3 linked regions of the Drosophila melanogaster genome follow. The gene in region 1 interacts genetically with each later gene. Each region holds a gene or a part of one and is shown in the gene's direction. Other genes may lie near its edges. The genes, in order: Nup62, Elys and Nup154.

Region 1 (4,487 bases):
AGTAAGACATGGGTAATCAAAAATTCAGAGAATCTTTAAATAGACTATAGTTATATCAGTAGTGTTAGTTATATCAGCAATGAAATAAACAAAAGCGTTATTGCAGCGTAGCGTGTAGAGTTCATGCCAAGGCCTAATTTTTACTAACTATTAAAGTTTATTTATTTTAAATGTTAGACGTAATGATAATTCTTTATGATCTAATCTAGTTGCTGGTAAATATTTCTTACCGCTCCCAGGACATCCAGCCCATAGGTGGCCTAAAATCGACAGAATTTCAATTAAGTGGCCTAGAATCCAATCAAAATTTAATACTCACTTTAGTGCCAGGCCATTATCGAGGCCCATGGATAATTGCAGAACCTGCAGCAGAAGAATCCCGCCCAGAAAGACGCCCCACGTTCCGTACATGGCGAGCTAGTGGCACCGACTGAATCCTGGCCTTTGGGCACCCAGGGAATTTATATTCTCCAGCGGGCGGCACTCCAGATAACTCTGTTTGGCAGGGGCACCTGAGGAGCTGGAGGTAGGGGAATGGCACCTGAAGAGCTGACAGAAGGTTAGTGGCTAATTGCTATTGCAGCGGAGTACTCCCATCGACTGATTGGTGTTCGCCGGGTGGCGCAAACAGCGGGCTTTCTCGATTGCAGGAGGAGCCGGAGCCCCTTATCACGCCAAGTTCACAGCGATCACAGGGAGCAAATAGAGAAAATCGAGGAGAGACCGAGAACAGGGGCTTTTGATTCTGATATGCTTTTGTTGTTCAATTCTGGCGCTGCTTGCCAGCTACACTGGTCAACAAAGTTGGGGAAATAGTTGGAAGCATAGTAGACTAGAGCACGGTACTAGTGATGGGAAAACATGTACTAACAAAACATAGGAACTATGGTCTTTTATTAGAAAATTTTGATCTGGTTTTTAAGAATAATTTAAAATTTCTGTTTTTGAGGATCAGATCTCAGATCTTATGAAAATCTTAAAAAGAATCTTATTACAAAAAAAAAAAAAACCGAAGGTCAAAGACAAGCTCTAATTGTTGTACCGCATTACGTTTGTACCTTAGGTAATTTTTCTAATTTTGTGGCTGGCAGCTCTGAAGAGAACCTACACAGGTACGCAGAACGAACCTTCTGATAGGAAGCACACATGTGTTTAGCTGATTTAGCAAAATGCAATTACTGAACTGAGTGCCGCTGCACTTTGGGCTTGTAATTGAATTCTTTTGACCCAAATGTTACCTTATCGCCTTTGCACTTACAGATAGCAAAAGATGACTAATTAAAGCCGGTGTTTTGTTATTGATTTTGTTTGTACGATTGACTACGTTTTCTTTCTGAGTTGGTTTTTTTATTTAAGTTGCGCGGAATGATTTGTTCCATGTACGACTAAAACTGGAGCTAAAACATAGCTCTCGACCAGTGTTGTTTGTCGATTTCGCAAGTTAGTTGATCGCTGGTTAAAAAAACGGACACAGACATAAATATATTTTAAAAGTGCAAAAAGTGATTGCAAACGTTAAAATAATATAAATGTTTTGGTTTTCAGCATGTTTTAGTAACAAAAATGTATCGTCGACTGAGCAAAGTACTTCATTTGTATTGCCAATTCAAAGAAATTTAAAATTTAATTTTGCCGCCCAATCTTCAAACTGCTAAGTGTTTTGGCTTGAAAATAGCTAGCTTGAGCTCAAATTTAGTTGATTTCCAACACCGACAACATTGCGGAACTCCAAGGAGGGGTCACACTGGTTGCTTTTGGCGTGTTTCGTTTGATTTAGATTTATATTATTCGTCTTAAGTTTAAGCATGGTATTCCAGTTGCCAACAACAACCGCCGCCCCGACCGGAGGCGCAACATCGTCGTTTTCCTTCGGCCTCAGCACAGGAACACCAGCCGCAGCACCAGCTTCAGGAGCAGCAACCACGGCTCCCGCCACAAAAACCACATTCTCTTTCGGAACACCGGCACCTACTGCTGGTATCGGTGGCGGAGATGCAGACAACAGCAAGGCGCAGGCTCCACCAGCCTTTGGATTTGGCCTGGGATCCGGGACTGCTTCAGCTCCCCTCACGCTGGGCACTCAAGCCGCCGCAAATCCAGCGTCCACCACTTCTGCGACCGCGACTGGAACCTCTGCTGCTCCTCCCGCCTTCGGAGGCTTTACGGCTCAACCAGCGGCATCTGTGGTGCCAACTATAGCAACCAGTGCACCCAACACCGCAGCTACCACAACTGGATTGCTGGGCGGGTCTGGATTGGGAGCTCCCAAGACCACGGCCGCTGCGTCCACAACTCTGACTGCAGCTCCGTCGGCCATAGCCTCCACGCAGGGAGCTGCACCGGCCCCAACTTTAAGTACTGGTGGTGCTTTTGCCAATCTCACTACCGAAACCAAGACCACAGACTCATCGGCCGTTTCCACGGCATCCCAATTGTCCTACCACCAACTTGAGGAGCATATCAACAAGTGGACTCTCGAGTTCGAGGAACAGGAAAAGGTATTCACCGAACAGGCCACTCAGATCAACGCATGGGACAAACTGCTCATCAGCAACAACGGGAAGATCGTCGAGCTCAACGATGCCGTGAAAAAAGTGAAAACCGATCAGCAAGTGCTGGACCAGGAGCTGGAGTTTATAGCCACGCAGCAAAAAGAGCTTGAGGACAGCCTGGGACCGCTTGAGAAGGAATTCGTTAATCTCCCGAGGGTGGACATGGAACGCAGCCAAACCTACCTGATGGTGGAGAATCTGGACACACAACTGAAGCAGATGTCCGAGGATCTAAAGGAGATAATAGACAACTTGAACGAGGCCAACAAGGGCCAGGACACCACTGATCCCATCATACAGATCGGAAAAATCCTTAATGCCCATATGAATTCGTTGCAGTGGATCGAATCGCAGTCGACGAACATCAGCAAGAAGCTGGAAGACATTGGCAAGATTCAAGACTCCCAGAAACGCGATATTTTCCGAGCTCCTTTCTAAAGATAAGTCCCCTTAATTTGTTAACTTAAATAAAGATGGTTCCATTGTAACCACAGAAAGAGTAATGATTTTATTTAAGAATTTATTGTAAACATCATACTGCCTTCAATTAATAACCCTTGAAGTACTTAAGCCTAAAGAGCGGCACCTGTTTGCCCTTAGTGGCAAAGGCCAGGAAGCTGCTGTGCGGCGAAAAGGCCATGGAGGTCACAAAGCCAACCTTCTCGTTCTGTGCCGGGAAATTGGAGTACACAGTGGCGCTGGGGAAATGGGCCAGCTTAAAAGCATTCGGCGCCTCACTGGAGCACATCGCCAGTAGCTCAGATGAGTGATTGAACTGGAGATCCGTGATGGCAGTCCGTAGGTTCATGAAGCGCTTCTCGGGTTGTGGGGCCTTGGATGCGAAAATGCTCTCGTAGTCGTAGATGTTGACCACGCCCTCTTGACTGCCGGTGGCCAGTAGGCGTTGGTTGGGAGACAGTTGAATGGACTCTCCATGTATACAGCCGTCGTCCATGAAGATGTGCTCGATGAGGTTCTGGCGCAGGTTCAGCACGCTGACATTGGAAGTGGAACCGCAGACGAGGATCCTCTTGGAGTCACTAGACCATGTGAATCCCTTCACTTTGCCCTCCTGCTTGAAGCTGTGCAGCAGCTCATTTGTTTTGGCCGTGAGCAGGTGAATGGCTCCAAACTTGCCAGCAGTGACGATAAATTTGCCACATGGAGACACCTCAAAGCGGTGCATAAATTCCATTGCGCCCGGCAGCTTTAGCTTCGATTCCTTGGCTTCCAGCAAGTCGTAGGAGTAGTAGAATGGTTTCACAGAACCAAAGAACGCCCTTGTGCCGCATGGAGCAATTCTGGAGCACGCCAGCGGGAACTTCTTGAAGCGCATGTTGTGCAACCTTTCGTTCTTTTGCCCATCCACGGCGTAGATGGTGGCTAGGCCATTCATGCCCGCCACTAGAGCAGCAGTACTGGTTGGATGAAACTGAATGCTGGTGGCATTACCCTCGGCATATGTGGCCCTGTTCAGGTCTTTGACCCGTTTAAAATTCAGAGTCTTCTGGGGCAGATCACTGTTCCGGGCTTTACGATCGATAAAGCCAACCGTCCGCAGCAGTTCTTCGTCGGAGGATACGTCCTCGTCGTCCTCATTTTTGACCTTCTTTTCCGCCCACTTGGGTTGGTTAAGCGTGCGCTGGAATCGCGCCGTAAGATACTCCTTGTACGATTTATCCTTGCGCAGGTGGTTCAGTGGACCCGTGTGCTTTGTGGCCTTCTTGACATCGCCCACCTGCAGGTCCTCGTCATCGGAATCCGACCAGGCGGCTTTCCGCTTGTCGCCTGGCTTTGCCTGGCCGGGATTTTCCTCCTGCTCGTCTTCGTCATCGTTCGGCAACTTTTGTCCCACGGACTTGGCTAGATTGGTGAGCAGTCGCTGCCTGTCGCCGAAGAGCACCTTTTCCATGGGCACCTCCACATAGTTGAGCT
Region 2 (8,445 bases), on another chromosome or scaffold:
CGGCCGGTATCTGACTGGCCTGGTAGATGTAGCGCAGCGGCTCCTCGTTGAACAGCTGAAGCAACGGCTTTCGCTCCTTGGTCTGGCCCTTGCGGTTCGTGATCTGCGCCAGGCACTCGGCCGCATTGCATTGGAATGCTTTGTCGTTGAGCAGGATGCAGAGGAAGTGCATCAGTTTGCCATTGCTGGACATGATGTGCTGGATGCTGACCCACTCGACGAAGCCGCTCAGCGTGAGCAGTACCATCTCGACGACACGGCTGTGCGCGTTCGCCTTGGTGTAGTTGCACAGACGCGTTGTCTCGCGGAACGCAGTCACATGCTGCTCCACCAGGCGCAGGAAGAACTCGAAGATGTCGTTCATGTTGTTGTTTAGCGCCTGGTACATGTCCTTTCGCCGCTGATTCGACTCGATTGTCTGTAATAGGGCCACGTCCTCCACCAGTCGCAAGAAGACCAGAAGCACCAGCTCCGTTTGGGCCTCGCCCTTGGTGCAGGCCTGGCTTAGCTCCGGCAGCAGGTCGGACCACTGCTGCGGCCACTCGCGCTTGATCATCTCGACGATGATGCGCGACAGCGCGTCCTTCGTGGGCAGCAGCGAGCGGTCCTCCGCCGGGCCCACGCCCACGTTCAGCATCTTGATGGCATTGTCCTTAATGTACACCTTCTCCTCGTGCGTAATGCAATTCCATCGGTACTTGATTGTGTACTCGATCAGCTGCAGGCCAAAGTGTCGCACTTGCTGGTTAGACTGCGGCGAGCTGGCCAGGAATAGGCCCACCTGGGCGCACATTGGCGACTCCTCCTTAAACCGCTCACAGGCCATGTAGGCCTCCAGGCGCGCCTGTTGCTGTGTCATCGGGTTCATGACTAGATCGATGGCCGAGGCCAGTTCGGCGGCCAGAGCCTCGGTGCCTCCGTGCTGGGACATCGCTAGCTAGCGTCTACCTGTGGGTATTGCGTTAGATTGGAATTGAAACAAATTTCCTGGGTGCGGCTTCTTCCTGCAACGGGCGCCATGTGCTCCACTTACCTCTGCTTGCCCCTGCCCACCGCTCGAAACCCAAATCTCGCCTAGCCTCTCGATCTCCGCCGCGATCCCCTCGTGCGTTGTCTGTGACCAATGCTTTTGTGGAGCCAGCCAACCAGCCAGCGAGCCAGACAACGTTTTGGAAGATTAAAAGAGCTGCCGCTACCTGTGTGCGTGTGTGCTATGTGCTATGTGCTGTGTGTTGTGTGGTCTGTTCCGTGTGCGAAATGCGGAATGCGTGAGCTGGGATTGTGGTGTGTTGGTGTTCTGGTTGGGATTGCCTGTGGGCACCGATGATCGCCCTGGGTAGCGCCTATTGCCTGGAACACAGCCTCTGGTCAGGTCTCTCACATTTGAGTCGCATATAGAAGTAGACCACTACTGAAACCGCTTTTCCGGCTGGGTTGTTTTAGAACAATGTGCAGCAAATCGCACGGGACAGGGTTGACAAGCGGCGCACGAAAGTTGCCAGATAGTATTGTTGCTATTGTATGTACTAAGAGCTTGACTCGGAGCTATATATGCCTGAATTGAGTGATACAAGGCATTACGCTTCAAGGTTGCTACTATCTGTGTTCATTCGGACTTCAAATGCAAAGCCAGCCGGTTGAGTTCCTTATGAAATTCGCGCAATATTTTCGCAATTCTGCAGCGTTGCCAGTCTGCTGGTGTTGAAGTTGCCAGGCTGCAAGTGCCGGCTTCTAGTCTTTTCTTCAAATGATTGGCTTGCCTCTCAGTTACAAACTTGTTTAAGCATGTATATAGAAAAAATTGAAAATGTACAGAAATATATGGTAACTAGTAACTCAAGTCCTTGCCATCGCTAAATTTGCGAATCTCTGTCGGACGTTAGCCAGCACTGGGCCACTCAGCGTGCATACACGACAAGCAAAACAACGGTTTTTTTGTATGCCAAATCGAGGCGGCAACGCCAGGCCGCTCAGGCACTCACACACTCACGCACACACAAAACATACACGCCGATCAATCGGTGCAAGAGCGCTGTATTTATAATTTTATTTTTATTTGCAAGCGGCCGGCATTGATGAAATAGAGATGGAGTGGCACGAAGTGGAGTTGGACGGTAGCCGCACGATTGCGTTCCCGGAGCGCATAGTACCCGGATTTGGCCGGGAGCCGTCGGCACATTTGGACGCCGGTAAGTGTGCACAAAATACGGCGTGTGCCGAAACCGATTCACCAAGAATCTCCGCTATCCCTTTACAGCCGAATACCTGGGCGGCATCATACGCGACGGGCAATGGGGCTGGGTGACCTGGCGGTATGGAAGCGATGCCACTTTGCTGGTCTGCAGCATGTCCACCGGCGATTACCTTTCTTGGCACTGCTTCTGGAGCGAATCCGATGATCTGGGGCCGCGCAAAAGCATTCGCTGCGTGGAGGAGCTCTTCCCCGGCGAACACGAACGCCCCGCTATGCTAGCCATCTGCCTGGAGTCATGGAACAGCGGCGATCAGAGACCCATCGACTGCCCGTTGAGCACGCAGGTGCTCATCTATGCCATTCGCAACAGTCAGGTGCTCCGCCGCTTCGACCTTCACGGTATAACGTGCAGCGCGCTGACGTTCCTCGATAAAAGAATCTATGGACTCACGCGACTGAGACGGTTTAAAGGCTGTCTGGCCGTGGCCACCGAGGAAGGCACTGTGCTGTTGGTTGATCTGAACAGCGACAGCCTGCAGGCGAGTACCCAAAGGCGCAGCCTTTGCTCCCCCAGTTCCAAAGATGAGCCGTCGGACGGGAACCTATACTTTGTATCCTCCGAGGAGTCCAAGAGGCAACTCAGCTCCAAGCTGACCCATTGTCGCTCCAAAGGGGCTCACTTGGCTGTGCGGATGGACGGTGAGTCTGTCACTGCCAGTGTGCCATGGTAGCTAGGTTAACCTTCAATTTACCAACAGTGGCATCCATTGGAATCAGTTGCCTTATGGGCATTAGCATGGCGCCCGGCTATGCTGCTGGTCTAGAAGACGGCCGAATCCTGATCTACGACCTAATCAACTTCGACGTGACCACTGATCTGAATTCGCCAGTAAAAAGGAAAGGGGTCAATAGAGCAGTGAAGCGAATGTGCCTCATTATGCCACCGGATGACCCCAAACCCTGTTTCTACATCTGTGCATTGTACCAAAATATCGACGTCCTGCAAATGATGCTGCACTCGGTCTGCTACAGGGGCTCGTACCGGGACCGGGAAACCCACACGATCCGTTTTAAGGTGAGAAATCTTGAGCCGTCACGCACAGACCAATATTGACTTCTTGCTTCGCAGGACTACCGTTCTAGAACCGTGCGCAACCGCCAAATCTTGGACGGAGGCATCTGCTCCGTGATCGGCTGCGCCACGGCGTCTACTTTCAGTTTTGCCGGCGACAACGGAACGCTGCTGATTGTCATCTCGTGGCACTCAAGTGCAGATAAAAAGAACAAGCTAGTCCTGTTCGACATTAATCAGTGGTACAAGGATGAGATGCCCACATCCGTTCACAAAAACGAAGTTCCTAATTACATGTCCGGCTACATACTCAGTGGTCTACAGACGGGACTGGCATTGGATTTGCGTTCCACCACCATATTGCACTTTGTCTCACTGCAGCGCTACGATGAGCACTTTTATCCCAACTCACTAACCTTTGGTAAGTGACAGCGGTGATTGAAGCCAGCGCCAGTAAGATTAATAGCCAAGTAATACCGTCTATTTCCAGATTGCTCACTGTTAACTCCAACTGGCAAACGGTACTACGCCCAGGACGGAGTGCAGCATCGGTTTCTGAACGCACTTCGCTGTGATCGTGCCACGCTCTTTTTGCGTCCTCAGATCTACCACGAGGACATCGTTCGCCTGCGTCTCCTGCCACAATTTTGTGAGCTTAACCCTAACGCCACATTCTCTAAGGTGAGCTACACACTAGGTTATTATTATCAGTTATCCGGAAATCTTCTGGTATCATATAGTACCACAGTCTTTGGGGAAATGAATCATGCTCGTTATACTCGTTTTAAAGTAACATTGCATTATCTTGCTCTCTAGATTGCCATGTACGAGTTGATACTGTCGGTGGCCCTGGAGCACAACTGCGGAGCTTTGCTTAACGACTGCGCACGGAGTTGGATGGATGGCAGCTTCTTGTGCAACATGATTGATAACACGCAACTCTCCTTGTCCACGCTGACCAACTGGATCTTGAAGCGCGCCGGACAGATCAAGACGAGGTGCTCGGAACTTTGCCATGGCATCTTTGATTACGGCGGCTATCCACTGGACCAGCGGGAACGGCGCGAGTTTCAAGTGCTATCCGGTCAGCTGCGTGAATTGGTACGATTGCAGTCCTACATTGTCGAGCAGGGACGGCGCAGGCTAACCTCCTCAATTTTGGACGATTGCCGTGCCAACGAGAGGGCGCTGAAAACGGTTCTCGAGTACCAAAGAGTGCTGCTTTGGTTTATCGATCACGGCCTCCTGCCGGAGGGTCAGCACATGGATAATCTGGTACCCGGCGAGCAGGCCTTCGTTCGCCTGCAACACGAGTACTCGGAAAAACGAGCGCAGGGAAAGATCCTCTACATTGATTCTCTGGGAAAACGCGCCTCCTTTCCGGAACCCTATCCGCCGGACTCGCTGCATGCGTATATACACTTGATGCTCAGTCCCGACATAGAACTCTGTCACAAACATGCTCTTATCCTCTACCTGCTGATGGACCTGAACCAACAGCTGGTCGGGCGCTTTCAGATTGCCTTTCAGCTGGACAAAGATCTGGCCACGTCATTGCGCTGCTTCTGGTACTTGGACCACGGCGATTACGAGGTGAGTTCGGATCGGTTAATATAAGCGAAAGTGTTATATTCATTCGTTTTGTGATGTATTTGATTACAGCGAGGCGTAGAGGAGCTATACAAGGAGCCTGCCCCCGCTAAGAACTTGAAATCGTGGCAGATGCGGCTGTTAATAGATAAACTGCTGGCTGAAGGTGCCGTCAAGGCAGCCAAGAAGGTGGTCAGTCGACCACCCGGTCCATTGTCCTCGGCGCTGCACATGAAAGTGCTCCTAGCCAACGAAAACATAACGGAAGCATTCCAAATCGCTCGCCTCGACGACGACGAGGATGGACAGCCGCTGCTGGAGCGCTTCTTCCGCCACTGCATTGAAATCAGACGCTTCAAAGTTTTGGCCGAGCTGTACCTGCGAGAGCCAGAGGAACGGCTGTTGTACAGTCTACTGCGCCAGTGCAGATCGCGTCAGACGGATTGCGTGCAATTGATAATGCTGCTTCAAAAGAGCAAGTTCATCGAGGCCGTGTCCTTTATGGATGAGGTGGCCGCCGAGCGGGAGCGAGATGAATCATCCAATACAATACTCCCAGCATACAGCGCTACAATGGGACCAGTTACACAGAACATCGCCGGCACGTATCTTCGCATCAGAGACACCTTGGAGCCCTACCAAAAGACCGGTCCCTTGGAGCCATTCAGCTGCCAGCTGGTCAAACAGAACGCCAGCGGCCAATTGGGCGGCATCTTTCAGAGTTCTGCCGTCAGTGCCCACTGGGCAACGCAATGCGAGTCCCCTCCAAAGATGACTCCCGTTTCGATCCAATCAAAAATAGGCTACACCAATGTGCCATTCCTGCGGCACGCGCAATACGGACATTCGGAGCTTCCACTTCCTCGGCGCATAGTAAAGCCGGTACCACACCAGGTGGTGGAGAAACGACAGCGGGAGCTAGAGGATCAGCGTACCAATCTACAGGACCAGAGGCAGCTAGGCACGGAGCGTCCCAATAAGCGTCCTTGTCTGATGGTTGAACGAATGGTGGAGGATGTTAAAGACTATGTGAGATCCATTCGAGAAAAAAGTTCGAACCAAATGGAGCAGGAAGAGGTCAAGCAAAACGAGGCGACCAATCTATTGCAGCCGCCAAATTTCCTCCAGGCGCGACAGTCGACGACGATACGCCAGAGCAGCAGTTCGCCACAGCCGATTCCACCGATCCTGAAGGGAAGCGGGGCCGTGGATGCCGTTAAGAGAGCTCCGCCGGTGGCTACATTCACAGCGCTGGCGGGGCCAAAAAGATTTCGCTTTGTGCCGCCCATTCCTCTGCGAACTGATAAATCTGATAAATCGACGGAGATGGGCAGCGAAGGTGCGGCTGAGGGTGAGGAGGAAACTGACGAGATCATTGTGGAGATCGAGTCAAGAAGCGAACCAAGGAGCGCCTGCAGCTATGAGTCCGACGAGGAGGATGAGTTCCTCTCGCCTTTAGTATCGGCCAATGTGTCTTTGGTGGATCCGGTACCATCGCGGAATTCTCCTCATTATTTCGCCCCACCAGCAGGACCACAGCCCCGAAACTCATTGCTACATGGGGGAAATGGAAGCGGTAGCAAGATTGGTACTGCAACAGGGAGCGAGAGTAGTAGTGGATTCGGTAGCTTCAGCACTGTCCAGCCGGCTCAGACGTCATCACATTCCCAGTTTGTGCCCACCGTCTGCTCGTCCAAGATGGGCGAGACGCAGTCACAGGTCTTCTCCAGCGGCAGCTGTGGGATTAAGATTTCCGAGCGCACTACCATCTGTGGCGAAATGGAATCCACCGATCTTGGTGCAGAATTGACGGCCGCACCCAGCGCACAGTGGTCTCTGCCATCAGCAAGGCCGGCTATACAGGGGCACCACCAGATGATGGACACCACGCTGGGAATGTCCACTTACGATGTGGCGTCACTTGAGCAGCAAGATACTCAGGATGTGGAGAACGAAGAGGAACTGAAGCTGGGTGACACAAAATCGCTTGAGGAGCAACAGAATCCACAGGACGAGCAGAAGCCGGAGCAAGAGCAGGATCAGGATGAGGATCAGGCGCAGGAGCCTTTGGCGACCGGTGGTCAGCTGGCGTTCCTAAGCAACTCAGAAGGAACGGCCCAGGAGCCCCTCTCCTCGCCCATCTACAGCCTCAGTAGCGAAGACTCGAACGTGTCCTCGGCCGGCATTCGGAATCCCATGCTGCCAACACTGCACACCGATGACCCAATGTACTCCATCGTTGTTGAGTCGCCGGGCTCCATAACCACATCCCGATCGGTTACGCACACGCCCACCTCATTCCTGCCCAGCGACACGAACGTATCACAGACATCTAGTCCGCAGGCACCTCATGGCGAGGATGGAGATGGCACGCCGATCTCATTGTACCGCGCCAATAGTCTGGAAACGGTTGACGACCTGGACACCACCAAGGGCTCGCTGGAGGAAGAGGAGGAGTACGACGATGATGATTGCGTCATAGCGCTGGATGGAACAGAAGTGCGCGGCTATGTCGCCCGACCCCAGCAATCGGCGGCCTCCAGCAGTGCGGAGCTGTTCGCCTTCAAGGACGAATGTCAGGAGGAGGCGGCTGGTGTCCCCAGTCCATTCCTTTCGCTGGGCGCCACGGTCAACAGCGACTCGGATGTGGCCGACACCATTGTCCTAGATAGCGATGAGGAGACGGCGAAGGAAAAGGATACTCAGCCGGAGCAGCGAAAGGATTGGCCAATGGAGGAGGAGACCCCGAGCAACGAGTCAGTGGCCACAGTTGAGTTTAGCGAGCAAAAGCAGCCACGTGCCGATATGGATATCGGGATGGAAGTGGATGCGGTGCCGGACGTGCTGGAGGTGCTGGAGGTGCCGGAGATGGAACCCTTGCCAGTACTTTCCGATGTGGATATCGAGATGGCGGTGGATGAGGTGCCGAACGTGCTGGAGGTGCTGGAGGTGCCGGAGTTGGAACCCTTGCCAGCAGGGCAAGCAACGCAGTCTAGTGGTCTTGGGGAAATTCCAGAAGAGGATGTCGACGCAGAAGCCGAAGAGCAGGTCGTTGTGAAGGTCGAACATGTGGCGGATGAGCAGCCCAAAGAAGGAGACAAGACGGAGAGCAAGGAAGCTTCCGAGGAGGAAACCCAACATAATCCAGAACCACTATTGCCCGAAGAGGAGGATTCAAGACACAGCCTGAAGCTGATTTTCTCCGGTGATGAGGATGAGGAGGAGCAAGATGTGCCAACACGGGCGATTCATACATTGCGACCGCGTCGCAGCTTCACGGAGCACCAGGACAGTCCGCGAACTCTGCGACCTCGTCGCGTCTCCCAGGAGCATCGCGATAGTCCGACTCCAGTCGCTGGTCGCACGATGTCTTTGCGCAGCACCGACGCCCCAACTTTATCGCCCGCATCCAATCCACCAGTCTCGACTCCCAAGCGTCGTGGGTTGCAGCACAAATATCTGCTGGAGGTGATCGACGAGCATAGTCCCTCGGACCTTTCGTTACCGCGCACCCGCTCGCGAACGCGCCTCAGCGTGGACTCGGAGGCAACGAGCTCCAGACCCGGCACGCCCACAATGACCAAGGCAC
Region 3 (8,526 bases), on another chromosome or scaffold:
CATTGTGATAAAATCTGAATACATTATATTACAAAAGTTTAAAGACACTAAATTTCTTATTGAAAGTTTCGGCCGTTGGTTTTTTTTTATTAACATTTTAGGTTGAAACACATTCCAAAAGTCTAAGACTCTAGCTTCACAACGGTCGTCTTCTCGGACACGTACAGACCGTCAAGGAACTTACGGATATCCTTGTTCTTGACGGTCGTGGACTGCTGGATGAGGGCGGCAGATCCGGAGACAGACTCAATATCGTTTCCCTCCACGATAAGTTCGTCCTTCTGGGCAGTGGAGTTGACCACGGTGACGCCAGGAGCCATCTCCACACGACGGATGTACTTCTCACCCAAGAAGTTACGGATCTCAATGACCGTGTTGTTCTCGGAGGTGACACAGTTGATGGGGAAATGGGCGTACACAGCACGCATCTTGTACTGGAATCCAAACGTGACTCCTGGCGAGAGAGAAATTGCAATTAATTGTGTGGTACTTTGAATGCAAATGTCTTTAGGAACCTAATGCCGAATCTAATTTGCCAGCACACACTGAAAATATTTACTAACTACTATATAGCATTTTTAGGTAATTTGTAAAGAAAATTGATATCTATGAATGGAGTTTAGTAAATCGTCTTCCCAGATATTATTATTAAATTCTCGTGTGATTGGCAAATGAAAGGCCTGGCTGTGAAAGTGTTCCTGTTGTGTTTACCCTAGCTGTACGCACCCTTGATCATGTTCTCGATGTGACTGCAGACGGTGCGGACGGCGGCCAACTCCTTCTTGGTTCCGAACCACTTCTCCACCTTCAGGGTGCGCTTGTCGGGCATGTACATGTCCAGAGCCAAGTGCTTGAAGCTGCGCTTCAGGGTGCCGCGGGTGCCGGTGATGGTCACCACACGGGCCTTCACCGAGGCCTTGATATCCTTAGGGATCTTCACGCACTGGTTGGAATTAATGGTACGCATCTTGATGACACTGTCGGCAAAAACATTAATTATTAGTTTATCAAGGCTACAAGTGCTTGTCACAGAGCATTCCAAACATCGAATCGCAGAGTTCACATCGGGCTAACAAAACGTGCGCTGCCTATTGTTTTCCAATTTGTTTATGGATCATCCATCCCAGCGGAAATGGAAAAACGGCGGCTCTTCAGTGCCACACGCCAATTGCCGTTTCACTCGATTCGATGTTTTGGGGCGCTTTTTCACACAAAACTTACGCTCCGTTAGTCCCTCGTTTGTATGACACAAATTCTGGATGGACTCCTCGCTGCAAGGGGTGGTTTTAGAGATATTTTGGGTTAAAATTTCAATAAAAATATAACGCGGAACACACTACTCACCGGAAACGGGGAAAAGAAAAGAAGGGAAATTTAATGTGGCTGTGTGAGGCGCACAAAATGCGCTAAATTTTGAGCGCCATGTGCCGTTGGGGTGCTGTTAACGTTACGCATTGTGCTGTTAAGCGCTAGAGTTTCTGTGTTGAGTTACAGTAGTCTTTTTTTTTTTTTTTGAAAAGAAGGCTTAAATCAAGTCTATTTGGGAAAGCGGAAAGTGGATTTTAATCACAATTATAAAATCCATTGGCAAAGCTTCGAAATGCTGAATTCATTCAGTAGTTTGAGGTTTTACCGATTTTAGAGAATAACACACCTGTTGCGCTCAACTGAGTTATACTCTTCACATTCTAATATTTTTATATTCTCAAAAGTTTCCGGCATGGGAAGTGCTTTTTTTATTATACTTGTATTAGCACAGTTACTGTTTATATAAAATTATCAACGTTTTTTCAAAGTATTTAAGCCCACTGAATATGCCTACTAAAACCATTATTGTCTATTAATATACGCGTCCTTATCATATAATATATATTAGCAGTAAAAGAAATTATTATTAAAATATTAATTTCATGCACGTTTGCAAATGTTTCTTGTGACAGACGATTTCATAATACCCCGCTAAGGCGCCTGAAATTGTGAAATCCATTAATATTCAATCGAAATATACCAAAACAATACCGAGAATGTGAGGATATCTGGTAACACTTAGCAGAAGGCGGGAGCGTGGGTACATTGAGCATCAGTCGACCAAATCTTCAGATTAGTTTGTAGTTTCATCCCAAAACAGTGGTCTGACGGCATTTTAAGTTAGCATTGCACCCGAGTTAGCCCGCCTCATCACAGTTTTCAGCACGATGACTCTTCCGCAAGCACAGCTGGACTTTTTCACGACGGCGACCAGTATGCTGGAATGGCATTACAATCTGGAGAGAAATAAGCCGGGTCTGCTGGAAGTATGTATTGGATACGGATGTTTATCAGCTTCTCCTCCTTTAATGATACGTTCTTTGTAGCTGACCGGCGTTAGCCAGCATGGGCGGGCCACGATGAGCGGACTTAATGACTACGATTACCAGAGCCTGTCGTTTTTGAAATCGGATAGAACACATAACCTACAACAAATGCGAACGGTGACCAAGTCGGCTATTCCCAACGAGATTCTGGAGCACTTTAAGCGTACGTATCCTGGGCTTCATAGCCCATAGATCTATCCGTTCCAATCTTCGATCCTACCTGTTGTAGACATAAAATGCCACTGCACCATGGGCCTCTTTCCGGAAATCGGACGTGCCTGGCTGACTATCGATTCGGAAATCTACATCTGGACGTTCAATCAGACGAGGGATGTGGCGTACTACGATGGCCTCAGTCATCTGATCGTAAGCGTTGGCCTGGTGAAACCAAAACCCGGCGTCTTTGTGCAGGACGTCAAGTACCTCCTGGTTCTCACTACGCCCATTGAGGTCATTGTCCTGGGCGTGACATTCGGTGAGAGCTCGTACAACGAAATGCAGCTGATGAACCGGCCAGTTTTTGTGATTGGTACCGACAACGTGTCCATCAGCGTCATCAAAGGAACGGATGACGGCCGCATCTTTTTGGGCGGTCGCGATGGCTGCCTCTATGAAATTTACTATCAGGCCGAGTCCAGTTGGTTTGGCAAGCGATGCAAGAAAATAAATCTCTCCCAAGGACTGGTCTCCTATATGGTTCCCAGTTTTTTGAAGGTCTTTTCGGTAACTATTGTCTTTACTTCAAAAAATGTCCGTAACTATTTAGCGCGATTTGTTTGCAGGAAGTGGATCCAATCGAACACATTGAGATCGATAACAGTCGCAAGCTTCTCTATGTCCTTACGGAAAAAGGTGTCATTGAGGCTTGGGACATCAGTACGAGTTACACGACAGCTCGAAGACTAGGTCGGATTACCCAGAACGATATTACGAATCAAGCAGTTAGTCTGATCACGTAAGTGCTAGTTTCGCAAAGAATTTAACTGTAGTATGGTTAATTAATAACCATTATTTAAACTTTAGGACTGTGGACCCGTCCATTTTTAAAAGTGTGAAAGCCATCTGCCCTCTGAGCGCCGACGATGCCGACAAACTACATCTTGTGGCCGTTACTCAGTGTGGTGTGCGGCTCTTTTTCTCCACAACATCGCTAAATGTGAAGCAACAATTTGGTCCCGCGGTTCCTTGCAGTCCAGGTGAGAATACAGGATTCGGTCAGCCAGCAGTTCAGCCACCACTGTCTCCAAATGCTGAGGCTCCTAAGGGACTTTATCTGCTCCACGTGCGTCTACCACCCGGCTACACCCCAAATGCCACCACCAACAAACCAAAGCAGGTCCATGCCGCTCACTACACGGAGGGAACCATGTTGATGATCACAACGCAACAGCATGAACAGGATCTCCTCTGGTCGCTCAGCTCTGCCCCATCGGTTAACTTTACCTACCTGGTGGAGTCGACGGCTCTGGAGAGCCTGGATGGAGTTGTTTGGGGATTGGCTGAGGTACATGAACCGTCGACGCCACAACGAAAGTCACCCTTAAATAGTGCCCGACACGCCCGCAAAGTAGCCCTGCTCACCAACCAAGGCACACATATCATAGAGGTGCTTAAAATGGTGGACGTACTGCGTCAGATCCTTCTGTCGTGCAATGGCCCACACCACGAGGAGGTGAAGATGTTCTTCCAGTCGCAGAATCAGCGAGAGGCATGTGTCACGGCTCTGCTGCTGGCCACATCGGATACTTATCGTGGCAGTGACGTTGCTTTGTGGGCCGCCCAGGCGTTTATGCTGTACGGCGGAGAGCCATGCTATCAGCATCAAAAGTTCCTGAACGCCAGCAACCGCAATATGGCTAATCAAACTCTAGGCCCGAATACGACGAATGTAAGGGAGCGTCAATCCATGTTTATGTCCACGCCAATGCCGAATAGCGTGGCAAATAGTCCGGTTGGTTTTCCTGGATCGCAGTTCAATCAGCCCATAAGTCCAAGTGAGTTAAATAAGATCTTCCAGATTGCGAAATAGTAAACACAAATATGTATTTATCAGTTGGAAATATGCAGCCACCACAGGTGGCAGTTAGTAACGAGAATTCCCCAATCGTTTTCTCGGCCAAACACGACGGACTTTACATGTATGTCTCCCGCATGCTGCATTCTGTTTGGCAAATGCGCTGTGTAAATGAGCAATTTTGCTCTAATCTAAGTCAGAGTGAGTGTGCCCTCTTGCTATCCGATCTGCGTTCCCTGCGTAGCTTTCTGGAAGTGCACTCTGTGCACGATATTTCCTGTAAGTCGTGAACTTTTTATTGCAAGTTAAGGTACTTACTTATTAATTATACAATTGTTGCAGCGACTACTCGAGTGTCATTTGATAACCATTTGGATAGAACCAATTCATATAACACCATCATGATGGGCAACACTTTGCTGCCAATTCCTGAGCAACGCGTATTGTCCGAGCAGGCTCAAGTAGAGGAAACACGTTCGCTTTCCGCTCTCAACCTATTTGTCAGTAAGTAAAGTTGGGATATTAAATCATAAAGCTTGAACTTATCTACCGCCGTTTGCAGAACATGCATGTGAGGTTATATCGCTGTGGAACATCCTAAACTCGCATTCCTTCCAGCTGATATGCGTGCAACTCAGTCCGGAACATCAGAAGTTGTTGACATGCTCCACCTTCCGGGATCTTCTGATTACACGTTCAGAGGTCTGCGCATTCTTGATCATCTCGCTGATCAATCTGTATCTGAAGGACGCGGCGGGAGTGTCTGAAGTGTCCAAGAACTTACGTGAGAACTGCCCCAACCTATACAGGCATGAGGATGACGTGACCTACAAGGCCACCGAGTTGTTGATGAATGCAAAGAATTGCACTTCGGCAACCGAAAAGGAACATATGCTGCGAACCACCCTGCATATGTGCAAGGAAGCTGCTCCCACATTGCCACTGCATAGTATTTGCATGCAATTCATATCGGCTGACTTCTTTGAGGGAGTGATCGAGCTTTCGGCTGTTTGTGCCTCAAAAAGTGATCCAGAGGAGGTTGGTGTTCATTTCTATAACAATGGGGAACCCGCCGATGATCGCGAGGGTTACACTTGCTTTGCCACAAGGTAACTTCTTTAATAGTTTTTTTTTTTCTTGGAAAAACTAATTATTTCCACATCTTAGGATGGCCTACTACAAGGAAGTGCAACTTATGCTGGACCATATCTACCAGAGAGTATGCAACAAGACGCACGTTCAGGATAAGTCTATAAATCCACTTAAAGGTACGGCTAAAGCGTCCGATGCAAAAAACGGTGCTACGCAAACGATTCCAAAAATAGTGGCCCATACCCTAAAGGTGAAAGACCCGCTCATTCATATAACGCTCTACGAATGGCTGCTGGCCCACGACATGCTCAAAGAGCTTTTAGACGTGGTTGAGCCGTCATTAGGAGAGTTCTTGCGGCGCAGTGTGTCGCAAAATGTAGATAATGTCGTTCTTATCGATTTGCTGTGGAAGTACTACGAAAAGAATAGCCATCATTCCCAGGCAGCCCATATATTGGACAATTTGGCTATGACACGCAGTGAAAACATTAATCTGGAGCAGCGCATTGAGTACTTGGTGCGTGCTGTTATGTGTATGCGAAATGGTAACGTTGGCTCTTCATTAAGCAATGGAATATTCCTGAAAGAGCTAGAGGATAAGGTACGTTATAAGATCTCTGGAAAGATGTGGTGACCTATATTTAATAACATAATTTAAAAATTCAGCTGGACATCGCACGAGTTCAAAAATCAGTGCTTGCCGCGATGACAGAGTTGGCTAGCGATAAGCTGGAGGCAGCTACGGCTGTTAAGGAACTAAACTATGCGTTGTACGACATAACTCAGCTATACCAGCACTTTGCGGAGCCCTTCGACCTTTGGGAGTGCCAATTGTCCATACTCAACTGCTCGCATCACAACGACCCCCTACTGATCGAGTCCGTTTGGGGCCAGATTATCAACAGCGTTGTGGATAAGCCGGGCACAACTAGTGAGCGCTGCAATAGGTTATTCACGAAAATCGAAATCTTGGTAAGGGAGTATGGCGAGTCTGGAGTTTGCTTTCCCTTTGCCTTTCTCATAAGGGAACTGGAAGTTAAAGCCTGCCAACTGCGATTTCCCGAGGGCATAGTGCCGGAAAAACTGGTGAGTATGAATTTGGACATTGAACTGCTCCTGGAATACTATTCGAGGTACGTATTGAAGGGTTTTCGCAGAGATAAAATTGTTTAAAGGCTAAACTTTTAAAAACTTTCAGAATGATTTCAATGAACGAACGAGTGTGGGCCAACGAGGGTAATGAGTGGCATTTAATACAATCCGTCATACGAGTGGTCTCGCTTCTGGCAGACAACGCACAATCTATTTGGTACCGGTCAAAGTAAGTGCAAAAGTAAAATGCTAGCCGATACGATTTACTTACATTCACATTTAACTTGCAGACGACGAATTGTTGGCAAGGCTCAAGACATAGTGGCCGGCTGCCTGAATATTTGCTACCAAAAGCCCGACACTAATCGTCTTCAACATTCACTCAAGGAACTTCAGAGTCAGCTGCAGCGGTTGTTGATTTAAAGCCGTCGGCCTGCGTTATTTTAATTAAATTTTTGAAAGTGCTGGACTAGACGTTAAGTTTGACTGAGATATATATTGTATTTGTATTAAACATGTTAAATAAATTGATTTCCCCACAGATCGTTGTTCGGATTCCGAGATGGCATGTAACTCATGAGGTGTCCATCATTTTTAGATGAGCTTCCGTCAGAATGCACTTCGTCATGTGACAGGAGCAAGGCACTGGATGCTCCTCTGTGTTGGGGTCTAGCAAATCCACCTCCAGATTGTATTTACGCATATCGGCAGCACTGCGCTTCATTGTGATTTGAAATGCAATGGGTGACTTCTCCTCCAGATTTTCGCAGGATTCCTCGGGCAGGACGACTACACACTGCTTCCAATGCGTTGGCGGGGATAGCGGCGATGTGCTTAGAACAAAATCTTCGCCAGGAAACTGTACATCGAACCAAATGCAGAAGCCCTGGTGATTGCCCGCCTTCTGGGCTGTTATTACCTCCTTGAACTGAATGCTGTCCAAATCGCTGGCTTCCACATCCAGCAGATTCATCCAGTGAAAGACGACGCCCTCGTGCAGAAGATCTTGCGGATTCAGCTGTGTAATCTCCGGTCGGGATGACTTTTGGGTTCTGAGTTTTCTGGCAAACGTGTCCATTTTGATGCCGTCCACGTTGTGCCAATCATCGAAGAGCGATGGTACCGAGCAGGGTGCCACGAAAATTGTGCACTCGCTGGGGAACAGGAGTCCACCCTCCTTGAGGAACTTGTCCCGGGCCAGGAGAACCGAGTCCAACATGCCCTCGTGCAGCAGGTAGAAGCCCATCCACTCGGACACAATGATGTCCACCTTTTCCGCCTCGGCAGGCAGTACGAATTCCTCAACACGCGACTGGATCACCTTCACCACGTTCGTCAGGCCGTTATCCTCAATCAAATCCAGCGCAACTTTGGTGGCCACATTGGATGCTTCTACGGCGTAGACCAAACGGGCTCCTGCTTTCGCACAAAAGGCGGACAGAATCCCTGTGCCGGCACCAACATCCATTACGATCTTGTCCTTGAACAGATCCTTATTCCCCAATATCGCATTGTAGTAGGCTTCTTGCCGAGGACGATCCTTCAGCATGAGCTCGTGGATCTGTAGTTTGGTCACTATGAGTACAGTTTCACAAGAAGATCTATAATCTTATTTACCTCCAAGTTTTCATACTCATCGAAATAAGTGTTCGCCATGATTTAAAGTTGCAGTTATCAACACATTAACATTAACGCATCAAGTGAATTTTTCAAAACAACGTGCTAAATAGAGGTGTGTTAATCAACTACAATAGTATCGATATATCGATAGGGTTGCTTATCAGGGTTGGTTGTGATTGGTCGTTTTACTTAATAAAATCAATTTGATTTATTTATTAATGCCTAAATTATTGTTTTATTTATTATTTGTTTAATTAAACTCAAGGCATAGTTGTATATATGTTTTTTAGAAATGCAAAGCTGACTTAAGATTTTTTGGTAGATTTTCGGCGATTTGTACTTTTGGTATCTTGC

Evidence for each region.
Region 2: of Nup62 (region 1) and Elys, changing one enhances a phenotype caused by changing the other (phenotypic enhancement), as found in Drosophila melanogaster (one study listed by BioGRID).
Region 3: of Nup62 (region 1) and Nup154, changing one suppresses a phenotype caused by changing the other (phenotypic suppression), as found in Drosophila melanogaster (one study listed by BioGRID).

The regions. Positions count from the first base shown.
Region 1 is NT_033778.4:16,342,776-16,347,262, forward strand, and holds Nup62 (nucleoporin 62kD), read left to right. Parts: upstream 1-1,601; 5' UTR 1,602-1,805; coding exon 1,806-2,990; 3' UTR 2,991-3,053; downstream 3,054-4,487. Other genes in the region: CG7997 (uncharacterized protein), read right to left, coding at 231-260, 320-411; wcd (wicked), read right to left, coding at 3,100-4,487. UniProt on the Drosophila melanogaster protein: Essential component of the nuclear pore complex. The N-terminal is probably involved in nucleocytoplasmic transport.
Region 2 is NC_004354.4:19,650,370-19,658,814, forward strand, and holds the start of Elys (elys), read left to right. Parts: upstream 1-1,935; 5' UTR 1,936-2,086; coding exon 2,087-2,189; intron 2,190-2,257; coding exon 2,258-2,893; intron 2,894-2,952; coding exon 2,953-3,269; intron 3,270-3,323; coding exon 3,324-3,687; intron 3,688-3,756; coding exon 3,757-3,947; intron 3,948-4,082; coding exon 4,083-4,859; intron 4,860-4,928; coding exon 4,929-8,445. Other genes in the region: Ranbp21, read right to left, coding at 1-931.
Region 3 is NT_033779.5:11,002,785-11,011,310, forward strand, and holds Nup154 (nucleoporin 154kD), read left to right. Parts: upstream 1-2,035; 5' UTR 2,036-2,195; coding exon 2,196-2,294; intron 2,295-2,354; coding exon 2,355-2,517; intron 2,518-2,583; coding exon 2,584-3,077; intron 3,078-3,136; coding exon 3,137-3,309; intron 3,310-3,377; coding exon 3,378-4,348; intron 4,349-4,407; coding exon 4,408-4,647; intron 4,648-4,710; coding exon 4,711-4,872; intron 4,873-4,930; coding exon 4,931-5,477; intron 5,478-5,535; coding exon 5,536-6,061; intron 6,062-6,126; coding exon 6,127-6,593; intron 6,594-6,658; coding exon 6,659-6,781; intron 6,782-6,842; coding exon 6,843-6,975; 3' UTR 6,976-7,126; coding exon of another isoform or gene 7,127-8,113; 3' UTR 8,114-8,137; downstream 8,138-8,526. Other genes in the region: RpL9 (ribosomal protein L9), read right to left, coding at 123-454, 727-967; Art8 (arginine methyltransferase 8), read right to left, coding at 7,127-8,113, 8,170-8,208. UniProt on the Drosophila melanogaster protein: Component of the nuclear pore complex. Has a role in the organization of the inner nuclear membrane proteins at the nuclear envelope.